Caenorhabditis elegans: one gene and its partners. The protein of the gene in region 1 interacts with the protein of each later gene in a pairwise test. Each region holds a gene or a part of one and is shown on either strand. Other genes may lie near its edges.

The links. The genes of interacting proteins can lie anywhere in the genome.
Region 2: the proteins of aap-1 (region 1) and pgp-6 interact in a two-hybrid assay, tested with the Caenorhabditis elegans proteins (one large-scale study listed by BioGRID).
Region 3: the proteins of aap-1 (region 1) and Y45G5AL.1 interact in a two-hybrid assay, tested with the Caenorhabditis elegans proteins (one large-scale study listed by BioGRID).

What each region holds. Positions count from the first base shown.
Region 1 is NC_003279.8:5,106,162-5,110,715, forward strand, and holds aap-1 (SH2 domain-containing protein), read left to right. Parts: upstream 1-1,681; 5' UTR 1,682-1,682; coding exon 1,683-1,855; intron 1,856-1,902; coding exon 1,903-2,162; intron 2,163-2,343; coding exon 2,344-2,609; intron 2,610-2,836; coding exon 2,837-3,268; intron 3,269-3,348; coding exon 3,349-3,786; 3' UTR 3,787-3,977; downstream 3,978-4,554. Other genes in the region: use-1 (Vesicle transport protein USE1), read left to right, coding at 132-227, 279-334, 385-460, 720-807, 852-986, 1,035-1,210, 1,260-1,397; Y110A7A.21 (MARVEL domain-containing protein), read right to left, coding at 3,978-4,118, 4,380-4,484, 4,529-4,554.
Region 2 is NC_003284.9:10,870,648-10,877,864, reverse strand, and holds pgp-6 (P-GlycoProtein related), read left to right. Parts: upstream 1-1,563; 5' UTR 1,564-1,610; coding exon 1,611-1,703; intron 1,704-1,755; coding exon 1,756-1,912; intron 1,913-1,962; coding exon 1,963-2,072; intron 2,073-2,117; coding exon 2,118-2,251; intron 2,252-2,298; coding exon 2,299-2,595; intron 2,596-2,793; coding exon 2,794-2,965; intron 2,966-3,008; coding exon 3,009-3,122; intron 3,123-3,171; coding exon 3,172-3,786; intron 3,787-3,830; coding exon 3,831-3,920; intron 3,921-4,160; coding exon 4,161-4,257; intron 4,258-4,307; coding exon 4,308-4,591; intron 4,592-4,637; coding exon 4,638-5,000; intron 5,001-5,064; coding exon 5,065-5,169; intron 5,170-5,213; coding exon 5,214-5,342; intron 5,343-5,392; coding exon 5,393-5,857; intron 5,858-5,907; coding exon 5,908-6,111; intron 6,112-6,156; coding exon 6,157-6,519; 3' UTR 6,520-6,664; downstream 6,665-7,217.
Region 3 is NC_003283.11:4,142,909-4,148,124, forward strand, and holds Y45G5AL.1 (Late endosomal/lysosomal adaptor and MAPK and MTOR activator 1), read left to right. Parts: upstream 1-1,596; 5' UTR 1,597-1,610; coding exon 1,611-1,810; intron 1,811-1,852; coding exon 1,853-2,021; intron 2,022-2,929; coding exon 2,930-3,062; intron 3,063-3,111; coding exon 3,112-3,350; intron 3,351-4,269; coding exon 4,270-4,356; 3' UTR 4,357-4,663; downstream 4,664-5,216. Other genes in the region: lgc-29 (Neurotransmitter-gated ion-channel ligand-binding domain-containing protein), read left to right, coding at 116-212; Y45G5AM.6 (Activin_recp domain-containing protein), read right to left, coding at 4,798-4,974.

The DNA of each region.
Region 1 (4,554 bases):
ACTTGAAAATTTTTTCGCGCATGAGCGCATTTGCATTTTTGTATTTCTCGGCCGTGGCCGAACTTATTTGTTTTCAAGTTGTCAACGTTTATTTTTATTTTTTTATCTAATTTTGTCAAAACATCAATGAAATGGCGTATATTTCTGAAAATGAGCTGAAATTTCTACGACTTCTCGAGCGAACAAAGCGCTTGACAAAAGAGGATATGTCAGCAAACGTTTGGAAAGCAAGTATCACATTTTAAGTTCTGTTTAATTAATTATTTTTCTTATTTCAGGTTTCTGCAGCTACAAAGATTCTCAATAAAATGATTTATACACTTCAAAACGATGAGTGAGTTTTTCAAAATACATTTTTTAATATTTATAGTTTTACTTTTCCAGAACCACAAATGATATTCTCCACGAGTACCGACAGGAAGTCTTGCAACTGAAATTACTCGCTGAAGCTGAAAGCAAGGTTTGTAGATATTTTAGACAAGCAAATTCGATCTTGTAATTTTGCTTTAAAGATACAAATTTTTACATAATTTCTAAACTTAATTTGAATTTGTTTGATTTGTTTCAATTAAAAATTTAATCCTAAAATATTATGCAAATGTTCCGTAGATTTTATGTCCCTCTTTTCAATTTAGATTTAAGTAAAGAAAACAAGTTGAACAGCTTTAAATATTTTGTGAATTTCGCAACTGTTATGAAATTGTCAGTAAGTTTTCCAGTCGTCAGCCGAGGAGCGCCTGAAAGTGATTGAAAAAATTCCACGTGTATTTCCCGATGTCCAAGTAACTGTTGCAGACTCCAAGAATGGTTTTTGAATTATTCAATATTTCATTTTAATGTTTATATTGCAGATAACGAGGCGGAAAGTTACGATTTTGAAAAAGAATCCGCAGCTGGACTCCGAGCTACTCAACGATCCATCTATCGATCAGATCTTCGGAAGCAGTTGCTTTCATCTAATAAACATAGAGCACAAGACACATCTGGTAAAAATTAGTATCCAATGATTGTTCAAAATTCGTCAAATTTTATAGAAGATCAGGAATTCATGAAAAATGAGCTTGTCGAGGAGGAGCTAGCAAATAGTTTGGCCACTATGGCGAGATCATTCAAAACGATGATGTCGGCTGCTGGAGATGTGATTAAAGAAGATACAGAAAGAGCAATATTAATGGCGAAAGAAGTCGATGATAATAAAACAGCTCTCGGGGTAATTTCTTCACTATATAAACTTCAAATAATAGTCTTAAAATTTCCAGATTCAAAGTGAGCGAGTTGAGCGTCACGCCTACAAATGTGGTTATGACTGTTTCAAGGTCATGCTCATTGTTCTGATTTTTATGAGCTTCGTATCAATGGTTCTTATGATGAAAATTTTCAAAAAAGCGAGCACTTAATAGTCGGGACGAATTGCTAGTATTTATGGGTGTAAATATTTCAAATAAAATTATTTAATTATTTGCATTCTTCGAATTTTTTTTCTCGTTGATATTTCCATTGGTCTACAGACCATGTTATACATACTTTTTTTGTTGGTTTTTTTTGGTGTTTTCACAAATTTCAATGCTTTGCTTTTTGGTCTCGGCTTGGTCTTGTGCCAGATTTAGTCTACTTCGGCAAAAACACCACAGATTCTTCTCCTCCGTTAATTATATATATATATATATATATAAGGATTCAGAATGAGCACAACACCTGGAACTCCTCATGGAGTCACTCATAGTCTTATGGAACAAGGATGGTACTGGGCTGATGCTGATAGATCTGCAGTTTCGAAAGCACTTTCTGATCAACCTGATGGATCATTTATTGTGAGAAATGCTAGTACACCTGGAGATTATACACTTTCTGTGAAGTGGGTTTTTCAAAATTAGTATTCAATATTAATAGTCCTTTTTTCAGATTTGCCGCCCAAGTGAAACTTCTCCGAATCGTTGTTAAAGATGGAAAATGCGGATTCAATACAGATTCATTAACTCACGATTCTGTTGTCAGATTAATTGAATTTCATCGAAATATTTCTCTCAATATTTTCAATGATGCACTTGATGTTCGTCTTTTATATCCAGTTTCTGTTCGTCGTAACTCTCAAAATGGAAAACCATTTTTCAAGAAGGGGCAACTTCAGCAGCGTATGATTCTCAGTGCAAAAAATGATCATGGTAAATTATTTTATAACGCAAACGCTAAATTTAAAAATACTGTAATTTCAAACTTTAATTGCTGCGGAATTTCTCTTGTCGTTTCAAGACCTCGTACCATATTTTTATCGCGAAAGTGGCAAAATTTCGCGTCTGAGTGATTGAAAAAAATAAAAATTAGTAAATTTAATGCTTTTTTTAGATTGGAGAGAACGCTTGGAAATGGAAAATTTGAGAGCAGTACATTTGGCATTTGAGAGAGGAGCCAAGCTATATGATTCAGCTCATCAAGAAATGGAACGAGCTGAAAGTCTCTATCATGCTTTGAATCAATCAGTTCGGGACAATGAGATTAAACTTGGAAAACTGAATAATTTGTTAGAAGCTGAAACAGACGTCGTTACACAAATACAGGGATCGCAGACAACAAGTGAAATGCTCAAAGGAGCATTTGCAAATAATAAGACAGTAAGCGTTTTTTGAAGAAAAAAAACATCCAAAACCAAAAAAAAACAATTCTAAAGCAAAAAAAAGAAGTTCAATTTAAAATTGTTATTTAGCCAAAACTCAATATTTTCAAAGCTGGATTATTAATTTTTGCTCAATTTTTTTCTCGGTTTTTTAAAAATGATTTTAGAGCAAATCCTCAATTTTTAACCATTATAGTTTTGAATTTTATCTTTTTTATTTTGCAGTTTGTGGAAGAAAGTATTCGACGAATAAACACTGAACTGACGTCATCAAAGGATAAGAAAAAGACGCTCTCCGGAATTTTGGATGAAATCGCGATGAAAAGATCCAATTCAAAAACACGACTCTGCAAGCTTATGGAACTTCGTAGTGCAGTCTATGATAAAATGGAACCAGCACTTTGTTCGAGAATGGCTGCAATGCTTGATGCTGGAGCGGAAATGATAAACAGTGAGCCAACGAAAGTCACTCAACTTCTTGTCGATATGGAATTGAAGTGGACACCGGCACAATATTTGATGTGTGGAACTTCTAAGGAAAATGCTGCGAATGCTCTGATTCATGCTCGCTATCGGATCGCTCAACTTGACAAGGCTGTTGGATTGAAAAGAGAGCCACAAGATGGTATTTTCTTGATTCGAGGATCCTCTTCTCATGTTAGTTTATGATTTTATCAGAAGAATAACTTTTCATCCTCATTCACGCTAATTTTTGAATTGAATTGAATATTTTTCAGGGTGATAAGCTCGTATTGAGTGTACTTCACGGAGAACGTGTCTCACATTGTCTAATCGAACAAAACGAAGAAGGATGGGGATTCGAGCACAGCAATGTCTACCTGACAACTATAAGTGACTTCGTTCGCTATTACTCTCACTTCAGTCTTGAAACCCACGCGGATGCTATCAAAACTCCACTTCGTACGCCCGCATTTGACGCTGTCACAAGTGATACTTCAAAACCTCTTCGTAACGGACCCGGACAAGTTTTTACGGCTTTGCCAATATCCAGGAAATATATGGAGAAGGCTCTTCTCACTGATGATCCCACTAAGCCACCTGAATCACCGGAACCAAGACCGGATTCATGGGATTCTCCATCTCCGGATACTCCTTCATCATCTGATTCCCGATTGGTTCATCCAACTACTCTTCCTAAATCCATCCCGGAATAGTTATATATTTAAATCAATTACTTACATATACTCGGTTCAATTACATCCACTTGTCCCCCATCCGATCTGATAGTAAACCCACAGTTCTCTGATCACTTTCTTCTAAGTTACTTACGTTTTATTTGTGTCTTAAATGTATTTATTATCAGTATTTATATGAATTGTCAAATTGTACATTTATTGATATAAATTCAAATCCGTCGGCGGTTCATCCGCGTATTAAATCGCACAACATTCTCCTCCTGTTTAACAGTAATATGACCTTTCGTTTGGTTTTTCATCACATGTAACAGACTGAGAAGAAACGAGACTGTCACCAAAGCGCAGACAACCTGAAATTGATTTTCTTTCGCGCTCCACGGCAATTTGAAAACGCTCCGCCCCCAAACCATGGGTCTCGTTAGGTATTTGGAGGCGAATCCGTACATTCAAATGTTTTTATTTTCATTTTTGCTTATTTCGCCAAAGTGGCGGAATTAAGTCAAAAAGTTTGAATTTACGGTTTTGCCGACAAATATCTAACGAGACCCATGGTTTGGGGGCGGGCGTTGTCAATTGCCGTGGAGCGCGTTTTCACATTTTGCATAACATACCGTTGCCAGCCACCAGGCCGTATTATTCCATCGAATCGAACTGTACAACATGGTCAGTGTATTGATTGTGAACAAAAATGAGAATGATGAAATGAAGACGCTTTCCTGTAGAAAACTCGAAAAAAATAAATAATTCAATATATTCTTACCCAAAAAACCCATTCATCTGGTTCAG
Region 2 (7,217 bases), on another chromosome or scaffold:
TTGGATGAACGTAATCACAAAAAAACTTTTTACAGAACTTCATTTCAATTTTTTTATTTTCTACAGTATACAAATAAAATGTTTTTCTTCTTTATTATTATGCCTTTCCTGTGTAGTCAGTCATTGTATATACTTACAATTTTTTATCACAATTTCAAACATAATTTAAATTTCTGCTAGTACAACACATACATTCTAGTTTCTTATCAAACTTTGTTCATTTGATCTCACACGAAGTGACGTTTTCTCAAACAATTATCTGTAAAACAAATGTTCTAATGCAAGAGGCGGGTCGATATTTGTCCACTGCCGTTAGTCTGCATCAGAATTGAGTAGTATTGCGCAATACCATCCAATACTTGAGCAATACATAAAAGTAGTAATTTCAGATTTTTCTTCCTACTCTTCTGCTTATCTAAAACAATACATTAATTGGAAGATGGACAAGTAAGTTGCGAATGTTTTGTTTACCAAAAGGTCTCCACATTTATCAAGTCAATGCTGCAAAAGAGGACACTAGTCTTTCTCATTCTGCGTCTGTTCTTCATGCTGGTCTCTCGTTTTTTTTCTTCATCTTGCGTTTCATTTCGAATATTAGAATGATAAAAAACAATAATATTTGTAGCAAGTTATTTACATTTGCCAAAAACAATGTAACTTACCGGAGTAAATGACAACTGTTAGATATAAATACTCATCAAACTGTATATAAATTTCTGTTTATTTTTGAGTACAAAATCGTAATCTGAGTATTTTCTTTCAAACAATTTAATTTTTCATTATCAGTCACTTTTGAACCAGACTTTGAATAAATTGTTGAAGCCACTTCAGCTTAAAGGTGGAGAAGCGCCAGTGAATATTTTTCATAAATTAACTCATAATCATTTAAAACGATTTAATATCATAATAAAACACTTCAAAAATTTTTAAATTTTCAAAATTTCCAATCAAAGTTTTGACAAATTTCCAAATTTTTATAAAATATGCAATTTTGAAAAAATCCAGAGCAATGTCACATGTTCCAACTCCCAGAATGTTTTAACACAAATAATCAGAAAAAAAAAATTAGAGTATAACAATCGTAGAAAAATTTGTTTTGGTCGACTTCTAATTTTATGATTATCCAAAACTGATTAATTTCCATATTTTGACTGTAAATAAAAACATTCCGAAATTTTTTGAAGAGTTTCATTATGATATTTAGTAATTTTTGCACCATATGAGTAGTTTTTAGCATTTTTCGCGCAAGTGCTACTCCACTTTTAAGCTAGTACAATACAATATACTTTTCAGCTTCTGATCAAATGTTGTTTATTTGATCTTGCACTATACATCAACAGCTTACGTTTCAGTTTCTTAAAACTATTTTCTAATCTGAAATAAGACACCAATTGTAAAATCGGCACGAAAGGGTATTGTCTATTGGCCAGAATGTCAACCTTTTCTATTTGATGATGAACTCGAGTACACTAGTTTTTATCAGTCTCAGTCTAGTCCATAAGTTAATCTTTTTCTGTTCTTCCTCCATCATTCGTCTGTTTCTAAATATTAATATAATAACAGAAACAATAAAGAGGCACAATTGAAGATAACTAACAGTATGGTCAATAATGGAAGAAAATTCGAATAATTTCAGTACTCCTCTCTTGCCTCAATCAGATGAAAAGAAACCATCACAGATATGCAGTTTTATTCGTGTTGTTGTGAGTTTTATGTAGTGCACAGTCATCATTATTCACTTGTTTTTTATTCCAGTTTAAATGCTCATCATGTTTCGAAAAGTTTTTGTTTCTACTTGGAGTGCTTTTCTCTTTGATGACGGGTTTTTGCCAACCGTTTATGAGCTACACATTTGGAGAAGTTTCTCAAGTCCTGGTAACAATAACAAATGCAATTAACAACAAAACTATTGGTATGATAACATATATTAGTATTTGTAATACATTGCATAAACTTGTTTAGACCCTGCCGATCTCGAAAAAGCATATGAAGAGTATGAGCGCGGAATGAACCAGGTCGTCTTTCATTTCTTTTTATGCGGATGCGCGTATTTTATTTTTGCATCTCTACAGGTAAAAAGTGACAACAGCAAACCCCATTTATGCCCAAATTTTAAGCACGCTATCATGAAATACGTTGGAGACAACACGACATATCGCGTTCGAAAACAATATATATCACGCTTATTAAAAAAAGATGCTCAGTATTTTGATAGCGTGTCGACTGGACATTTGTCCACTGTATTAAATGAGTAAGTTTACCTTGACAAAAAAAATTAAAACGTTGTCATACTTTCAGCAACTTGGAACGTTTCCGAGAAGTATTTAATGAGAAAATTGCACTCATAATCGCATTTGTTACTGATTTTACACTTGGAACTGCATTAGCATTTTATACAGATTGGCGTCTGGCTTCGTATGGAATCTTTTTTTCACTTGGAATTGCATTTTCTGGGTTTATAAACTCAGCAGGTGTAATGAAGACAACTGGAAAACAGAACACGCATTATGCTAACGCTGGGTCCATAGCCTTCCAGACACTTGGTGCATACAAAACAGTTTGTTCTTTGAATGGCCAGAAAACTGAGATTGAAAGGTAAGTTCAAAATAACCACATACTGTCGTGAAAAAAGCTCAGTTTGTACGTTAGAAAATTTAATGCAAATTTTTTCAATTGAAACTTATGATTTCATTTGAAAAAATTAAAAAAAAAACAAATAAATTGTATTCGCCTGTTGTTTAAAAAATAGTAGCAGCACAATCAGTGTCACAACCAATGAATTTTTAAACACAGATATACAGAAGAACTGAAGGCTGGAGAAAAATATGGTATTCGTAGAGCTCTTATGTACTCCATTTCGAGAGGTGTCACTTACTTTTTCTGTAACAGCTTGAACACTGTTGTTCTCTATGTTGGAGCAACTATGATTTATTCTGGTACACTGGAAACAGCGGTCGTTGTTAGGGTATGATTTCATTCAATACTTACATCTGAATAGTTTTTTGAAGCTTTTCCACTATATGTTGTTTGGAGCCTTCTGTCTTAGTGAAGCACTGCCTCATATCTCCCGCCTAGCTGGTGCAATTTCTTCCACAGCACCCATTGCAGAGATGCTGATTAAAGTGAGTTTGATAGGAAAGTGCAAACAATAATTTACCAATTTTGATTTAGGATGACAACGTTATCGAAAAAGACGAGACAGACTACGACGTGGAAGTGGAAGTTAATGGAAATATTTCTTTCAAAAATGTAAAATTCTCGTACCCAACTCGACCAGATGCACAAGTTTTGAAAGGAATCTCGTTTGATGTTCAAAATGGAGAATGTATCGCTTTAGTTGGTGCTAGTGGAAGTGGTAAAAGTACTGTAGTGCAGTTACTCCTTCATTACTACAATATTGATTCTGGAAATATATTTATTGATGGAATGGATTTGAACGATATGAATATCAAAAGACTTCGTCGAGTGATTGGAGTCGTTTCCCAAGAACCAGTACTTTTTAATACTACGATAGAGGAAAATATTAGATTTGGAAACCCAAATGTGTCTTTACCGGAAATCTATGGAGCCTTAAGAAAAGCAAATGCTTATGATTTTGTGTGCTCTTTTCCAAAAGGGATCAAAACAATAGTTGGCGAGAGAGGTACACAGCTTTCTGGAGGACAAAAGCAAAGAATCGCAATTGCACGAACGTTGGTTCGAAATCCAAAAATTCTTCTTCTCGATGAGGCAACCAGTGCATTGGATAATGAAAGTGAGCAAGTTGTACAGAAAGCACTTGAAAACGTTAGTTTACATACTAATATCTGAAAGTATAAACGTGTATACAGGCGTCGCAAGGAAGAACAACTATAGTTGTGGCACATCGATTATCAACAATCAGAAATGCCAGTAAAATTATTGTGATGCAAAAAGGAGAGGTGAGTAATTTGATAAATAATTTGATCACTGTTAGTTTCTGAACGCCAAGAAGGGGAATTCCGGTGTACCAGGGGTTCTTTAAAAGGTAACAGAGAAATAGTGATCGCTCTAAAAAAAAGTTAACCTCAGGGTTGCGCTTTCTCAAAAACACAATTAGGAACAATGAAGTTTACAGATTTTTCATTAGACATAGAGTGAGTGATTCAACAATTCAAAAGTCTAGAAACATAATTTTACAGATTGTTGAAGTTGGGAATCATGATGAGCTAATTGCGAAACGAGGTGTGTACAATGATCTAGTTCAAGCCCAATTGTTAGAATCTCACGATGACCATGGTAAGAAATATCTGCTACATCATTCAATTTCTAAAATTGTTTGGGTTTAGAAGAGCTTCCACCACTTGCTGCAAGACAACTATCACAAGAGTTATCACCATTACATAGTTATGCAATTCAAAGAAGTACAAGTAATGACGCAGGTGTTCATGACGATGATATGGAACGAATATTAGATGAACTCAGCAAAGAAGGAGCAAAGAAATCAAATCTCAGAGAAATTGTGAAGCAATGTCGACCAGACTACTGTTTCTTATTTATTGCAGTTTTTGGAAGTGCCATACAAGGAGTTAGCTATCCTATACTGGCTCAATTGATAGTACGAACATATGAAGTGAGTTCGCTTTGTGATTCACTTTTATCATTGTTTTAAATGTTAGGGGTTCGCGATGATTGGTGAAGACATGCTCTACTACAGTCACCTTTGGGCGCTATCTTTCATGTTTCTGGCTGTGTTCCGTCCACTTACATTATATTGTCAATATTACTACTTTGGAAAAGTTTCTGAACAATTATCCACACGACTCCGCATCAAGTCGTTCAGTCATATGTTGTCACTTCCATGCGCATTTTACGATGATCCCAATCACTCTGCAACTCGATTGTCTAACAGATTGAATACGGATTCTTCTAATGTCAAGGCAGCAGTAGATGATCGGCTGGGATGTGTCATCATGACTGTGGTAGCAATTTCAATCGCAATTACAACTGCTTCCTTGTACTGTTGGAAAATGACTCTAGAGGTTAGTCGGAGATTGATAAACGACAACATTACAAAAGAGTTGTGCTACTAACTTATTGTTTCAGGTATTGATGTTTTTCCCATTGTTGTACCTGGCTGAATATTGTTACGAAGCAGCCACCGAAACCGCTATCCAAGAAGATACAATCGCCTTTGAAAATAGTAACAGAGTAAGTTCGATAGAACCTGACGGGTTTTATATGCAAATGTTTAGACTGCGATTGAAGCGTTGGAAAATGTGAGAACAGTTCGAGCACTTAATTTGGAAGATAAAATAATGTCTTTAATATCTGAACATCTACAAAAAATTCACAAATCTTATTTCAAAAGAGCCATTATTCAAGTAAGTTTTGACGTGTTTTTTTTGAAACAAAGCAAACCAATATCGTTCAGGGTGCTGCAAACGGTCTCTCTCTTAGTTGTTTCTTGTTTGTGTACTCGGTTTCTTTCAAATTTGGAACATATTTAGCTTTACGGAAAGAAGTAGCTCCAATGGATACTTATCTTGTTTTAATGACTCTTTCCATGACAGCTAATATGGCTGGATCTGCAGCTGCATATCTCCCAGATTACAAAAAAGCAGTTCATGCAGCTGGATTAATATTCCATTTGTTCACATATCCAGCTACGATGCCATTCAGTTCCAGTGATGGAAAGAAAAATATTGAAAAGGGAGAAATTATTGGAGAGAATGTTCAATTTCATTATGATCAACGGCCGGATCGTATGATATTGAATGGTGTTAATCTGAAAGTAGACCCAGGAAAAACCCTTGCTCTTGTTGGTCCAAGTGGTTGTGGAAAGTCGACAATCATTTCATTGCTAGAGAGGTTCTATCACGCAGTTGATGGAGAAGTCGTAAGCATTGATGCGCACGTGTAGAACTTTTAATTCCTAGTTCACTTCAGAAAATTGACAGCGAAAACGTCGAGGATATCAATTTGAACCACCTTCGATCTAATTTAGCTCTGGTATCACAAGAGCCAACTCTGTTCAACTGTTCAATCAGAGAGAACCTTTTGTATGGGCTCACAAGATCCGTGCCACAGTTAGAACTTGAAAAGGCTTTGCAAACGGCAAATGCGTTCAACTTTGTATTTCAGTTCCCACAGGCTAGTTTCAACTGTGCTCAACTTACATAAACTATTTCTTTACAGGGTCTGGACACACTTGTTGGTGAACGTGGAGCTCAGTTATCCGGTGGTCAAAAACAAAGGATTGCGATTGCTCGAGCAATCCTGAGAAATCCAAAAGTTCTTCTATTGGATGAAGCGACTAGTGCTCTGGACAGTGACAGTGAAAAAGTAGTTCAAAATGCTCTTGACACTGCAAGTGAGAGACTATCCACTGTTGTTGTTGCACATCGGCTATCAACAGTAGTCAATGCAGATTCCATTGCTGTTCTGAAAAACGGAAAAGTTGCAGAACAAGGAACACATGAAGAACTATTAAGGAAAAGAAGTATATACTGGAGACTTGTACAAAAACAAGGAATTCAAGTGGAGACACCATCCGATTAATTATTTCATTTAAAAATTTTATAGTTGTTTGTTTTTTTGTAGCTGTTTTCATTGTTTTATTTATTTGCCTCTTTTCAGAGGCAGTGTTTATTTTTTAAAAATATTTGAACAGAAGCCTATGTTGGTTATAAATTGTTTAACATTTTCTAGCTTTGATCCTGATTCCTTGGAATGATCATATCCTTTGTTTGGTGCGGTATTACACATACGCCCTCGTTTTTTGAAATACAGTTTTCAACAAAAAACGTGTCAAACATATTTTTAATTTCAGACAGAATAAATAAGATTAATTCCAATAGCATGGATATATGAAAGAAAAGATGTGTGGATAGCTACAATACAGTTTAATCCAGAAACTCACATTTGTAAAAATTGCTAGTTAATACGTTTTGATGCAAATTATGTTAAACAACGGATAAATTGACTCTAAATACATTTTTCTGTTTCAATCAATCACTTTAATACTACCCTATTGTCACGAACAACTGTGTTTTCTGCTCGATTTTGTCTGCAAAAACTGTGTTTTCTGTTGAAAATGTTTTGCAAGGACTGTGTTTTCTTCTTAATTTTTTGCTGCATTTAATCATTTTTTTTGTATTCAGTATTAAAACTGTTATATCACTATCATACTAAACTTAAGCTTTGGATTGCACAATACACGTTTTCTAGCTTTTTATCGAATTTTATTCATTCATTCT
Region 3 (5,216 bases), on another chromosome or scaffold:
GCTATGAGTTTTCGCTATATTTTGCGCGTCAAATATGTTGCGCAGTACGATTTCTCAAAATTTTGTGTTACCGTAATAATTAGTGTTTTTTTCTCAAAAAATATCAATATTTCAGCTGGGAACGAATAAAGTTCTATTTCAAAGTGGAGTACGTCTTTATGTTGGTCTTCCAAATTGCAAACTTTGTCAATTTTATCATTATTTTCACCTGATAAGCCGCCGCTGTCGAATAAACTTTTTTGATAAGACCACCGAATTCTGAATGTTTTCCCACATAATTTACACGATTTATTGATTTTTTCTCCGATTTTCTGGGCCTAAATTCGTATAAATATTGTTTCCAAAAACCTTTTTATTTATCATGTGACCAGCTTTATTGGATGTGTGTGGCAGCGAGACAGCGCGCGTTTCGCAGAGACGCAGAGATTCGAGAGTTCAATGGAGCGCGCTTTCACCCTTTTGTTTTTATCATTTTCAATGTTGATTTTGCCCATTTTTACCTGTTTGTTCTTTGTATTTTCGTTTTTTTAAAGGCAATTTGGAGTTCTAAAATGAATTTTAAAGATTTTTAAAAATTAAAATTCAATGAAAACGCAGAAAAAACATGAAAATTTAGCTGGAATACTTAATTCTCTCACTTTTTCCACATTTCATGCCATTTGAAAGTAATTTTGCGTTTTTGAACGCACTTTTTCGCTAAAATTAATTAAATGTTTTAAAATCCGCATTCAGGAAAGAATGCACTCATCAACCGTAATTTCCGCTAGAAAATTGAAAAATCCGGGTTTTTTTGCTGTTATTAGCTGAAAATAAGCCCAAAGTGGTTTATTTTGTTTAAAAATATAATTTACGACTGCTGAAACACGGAAAAGATAGCAAAATTTAAAGATTTTAGCCGAAATTTTTTTTTTTCGATTTTTGAACCGCCATAAAAAATTTGTGGGGTTTTTGAAAAATCTAATTACGAAATTCTCCTTTAAAGATTGTGCAGTCGAATTTTTATTGCTTTATTTGATCCAAAATTGTCTGAAAAAGCCGAATTTCAAAATGAAACTTCTTGAAAACTTCTCAAAAACTGGCCTAAAATTAGTTAAAATTTGAAATTTGACTTGTCAGCGGCTGGGAGCTATTTTTTTTGAAATCACCGTCAAATTGTGGGTTTACAATTTAATTATCGTGCGTTTTCAACTCGATTTAGGTATTTTAAAGTCGATGAACGGCGAGATTTTTTTAAAAAATTTCACCAAATCTCGCTTTAAAATACCTAAATCGAGTCGAAAACGCAATTACATTGTATACTCAAAATTTGACGGTGATTTCAAAAAAAATGGTTTCAGCCGCTGACAAGTCAAATTTCAAATTTTAACTAATTTTAGGCCATTTTTTGAGCCGTCATAAATTTTTTTGAGAAGTTTTCAAGAAGTTTCATTTTGAAATTCGGCTTTTTCAGACAATTTTGAGTCTAATCAAGCAATAAAAATTCGACTAAATACGCCACCTTTAAATAGTGATTTTTTTTTCAATTTTGAGCGATTTTTACTACTCGTAAATGGATTTAATTTCTATTTTCCCCCTAAATACCTTCAATTTTTCCAGATTCATCTCTAAACATGGATGGTATTTTCCGCCTATTCTGTGGATGCTGCGGAATACAAGGCGAAGAAGAGCCGCCATACTCACAGCTCCGCCACGATTCGGTCACCCCGATTCGTGATCCACCACTCCAGCAGGGAAATCGCCAGGCGACGAATGGAGCACATCAGCATAATCCTCTTCAGCATCAAGGATTCGTGAATCCGGTTCACGAATAGTATGTTTTATCCGGCCAAAATCGTTGCAACTCTTGAGAAAGTTACAGTAATTACGACGCCACCGATGGGCCGAACATGTATCCATCGGACCATCATGGAATGCATTCGGACTCGGCGTCACCACCATCCGGTGATTTTGATGAGGAGATCGTTGAGGATGAGGGCCGTGAAAAGGAGCAGCTTGACAATATTGTCGAGAGCACGCAGCACGTATGGAATTTTTTTTCCCGGCAAATGCTCAAAACTGGCCAAATCCGGAGTTTTAAGCTAGAATTTGACCTGTTTTCGGAAATTTTCAGTATGGTTCATCACGAAAATCAGTAGTTTTGGGCGTTTTGATGTTGGAAAATTGAAAAAAAAAGAAAATCATAAATTTCTTGATAATCCAATTTTTGATCTAAAATTGATATACTTGATATAACGTAGAAAAAAAGTTGTTCTATCTAAAAAATAACGTTAATTTTTGTTGAAAAGCTTGAAAAATACCTCAAATCGGCACTATTTTAGGTCTTTTCAAGCGTTTCAACAAAAATTATCGTTATTTTTGGATCGAACAACCTGTTTTCCGCATTTCTATATCAATTTTAGAACAAAAAATTGGATTATCATGTCGAAATCAGCCATTTTTGTGCAGTTCCTGGAAAAAGCTGCATAACCGAATATATGTGAAAAATATATAATCTTCCAAAATTAAAACGCCTAAACCTACCGAAATTCGTAATGAACCATACTGAACGTACTGAAAATTTCTCAAAAAAAGCCATATTGGTTCAAAATTTCGAAAAAAAACGTCAAATTCTAGCTTAAAACTCCAATTTTGGTCACTTTTTTCGTCTCGCAGCAGTCCGAAGTTGACTTTTTTTTAGAAATCCCGTTATTTCATTGATTAAAGTTAATTTTATTAATTTTTCAGCTTAATCAACATAATATATATATATTTCAAAAAAGTAAACTTCGGACTGTTGCGACACGGAAAAGTGGCCAAAATTGGACTTTTAAGCTAGAATTGGCCATTTTTCCGAAATTTTCACCACAAAATTTGGTAGCTCTGGCCGTTTTGGGTCTAAATAACCAAAAAAAAACCTAACAATAATTAATTTTAAAAATCAATATTACAGAGCATCATCGCTGTTGGACAAACCGACGTTGATGGTGTTATCATGCCGGATACACAATACCGCGAGAAGGCATATCGGGCGAAAGTTCAAAAGATGGCGTGTGCTCCACCGTCGGTTATTCATTACACTACAAGTAACTCTGCAGATTTTCAGAAAAAAAACATTATTTTTTCAATTTTCAGTTTATGATTTCGAGTTTGAGCCGACACAGACGCCGATCCAAGTTCCCATCAGATATGACGAGATATCTGCAACAATAGAGCCGTCGCCAATCGAGCGGATGCCATTCTCGGCTCCGGATTTCAATCAGTTGAAGCTTGCAAGAACTATGGGCGCCAAGAATCCACAATTCCTTGTCGAGCATCCAGATCTGAAGTCTGCTGGAAGATCTCAGGGAATCACCAGTTCCATGAAGGCGAAGGTTATTATTTTTGTATGCTCTGCCGAGCATAAAAAAGGCCTAAAAATGAAGTGAAACTCCTGCGTAGACTTGCGTGGTCTTGCATAGAAATCTAGGATTCTTGCCAGAATCTTGCGTAGCTTTTCGGCCGGAAGTTTTCAGTTTTGGGCAAATTGCATGTTTTCCGATTTGCCGGAAAATTTAATTTTTGCCAAATTGCCGTTTTGCCGGAAATTTTTTTTTTTGGTAAATTGCTGTTTTGCCGGAAATTTTCTTTTTTCGTAAATTGCCGGTTTACCAATTTGCCAGAAATTCTCATTTTCGGTAAGTTTCCGATTTGCCGGAAATGTTCATTTTCGGCAAATAGATGTTTTGCCAATTTCCCAGAAATTTTCATTTTCGGCAAACTGCCGATTTGCCAGAAATTTTCATTTTTGCCAAATTGCTGTTTGTCGATTTACCGGAAATTTTCATTTTTGGCAAGTTGCCGGTTTGCCAGAAATTTTCATTTTTGGCAAATTGTCGATTTGCCGGAAATTTTCATTTCTGGCAAATTGCCGATTTGCCGGTTGGCCGGAAACTGTCATTTACGGCAGGTTGCCGATTTGCCGGAAATGTTCATTTTTGGCAAATTATCGATTTTCCGGACTTTTTTCATTTTTGGCAATTGCCAGAAATTATCAATTTTGAAAAATTGCCGATTTGCGGGAAATTTTCATTTTTGGCGAATTGCCGGTTTGTCAATTTGCCATATATTCTTATTTTCGGCAAATTGTCATTTGGAAAATTGCCAGTTTGCCAATTTGCCGGAAATTTTCATTTTTGGCAAATTGCCGATTTGCCGGAAATTTTATTTTCTTTCCATTTTCACGGATCGGCAATTCAATTTCAAAAGTACAAGTTTTCATAATTTAGATTTAAAATTTTAAAAAATTTCCAGGTAACTCAAGTCCTCGACGAAGTTCACCAAGGTGTCGTTGGAGTTGAAGTGGAACCACGCGATCTGATTGTCAGCATGGATTTCTGAATATCTGACCAACTTCCCCATCTCTCGTGTGATGATGATAACCCGATAACTTATCAAAAATGAATACAAGTACCCCCGCCCAAAAAATTAATTTTTTCCAATTTCCAGTGTTTCGTGTATCTTATCGTTATTCTTTTCCCAGTCTCTCGCGTCGCCCAAACATTTTTTTCCAATTTTCACCAAAAATTTAAATTTTTTTCTTCCCCCGTTTTTCTATGTATGCTATGTTAGTTCCGCCCGTCCCCAAGCCCAAGCCAATCCAAGAGAACTTGTCAAAAATTGCAACAAAAAAAATGACTTCTTATTGAAATTCAATTGTATATATATATATAGGAAATATGTACCAGTAGATTCGGGGAGTTTATGGTTTTTTTGTGAAGAGGGGAGAAATTGTTTCAGATATGTCAAACGATATACGATTTTTGGCGGCGGCGGTGGTGACTATGCGAGGAAGTGATGATAGAGAACAGCTGGGAGCAGCAGCAACACGTGAACGATTTGGAGCAATTTTGGTGACGTGGCAGTCAAGGAGTCGCTATTGCAAAGATTTCCACGACATGCACAGTGAATTTCTTCGTATTCGTCGGATATCCATTTTTTGGAGCAACCGATTTGGATCTGGAAATTGAGATTTTGAAATTCTGGGCAGTGGAGCGCATTTGCTCTTCTCTTCTTTTTTTTCTGTGTCATTTTTGCCTTTTTAGGTTAAAAAATGCTTAAAATTACGTTTTTTTTCTAAAGCAAGTGCGCTCCAGTTAACTGAGCGATTCCGGGTGTCAGGTTGTCCCATAACGGTTTGATCTACAAAAAATGCGGGAATTTTTTCCGACGTCAGCACGTTCTTGAGGAATCAGTTAAGA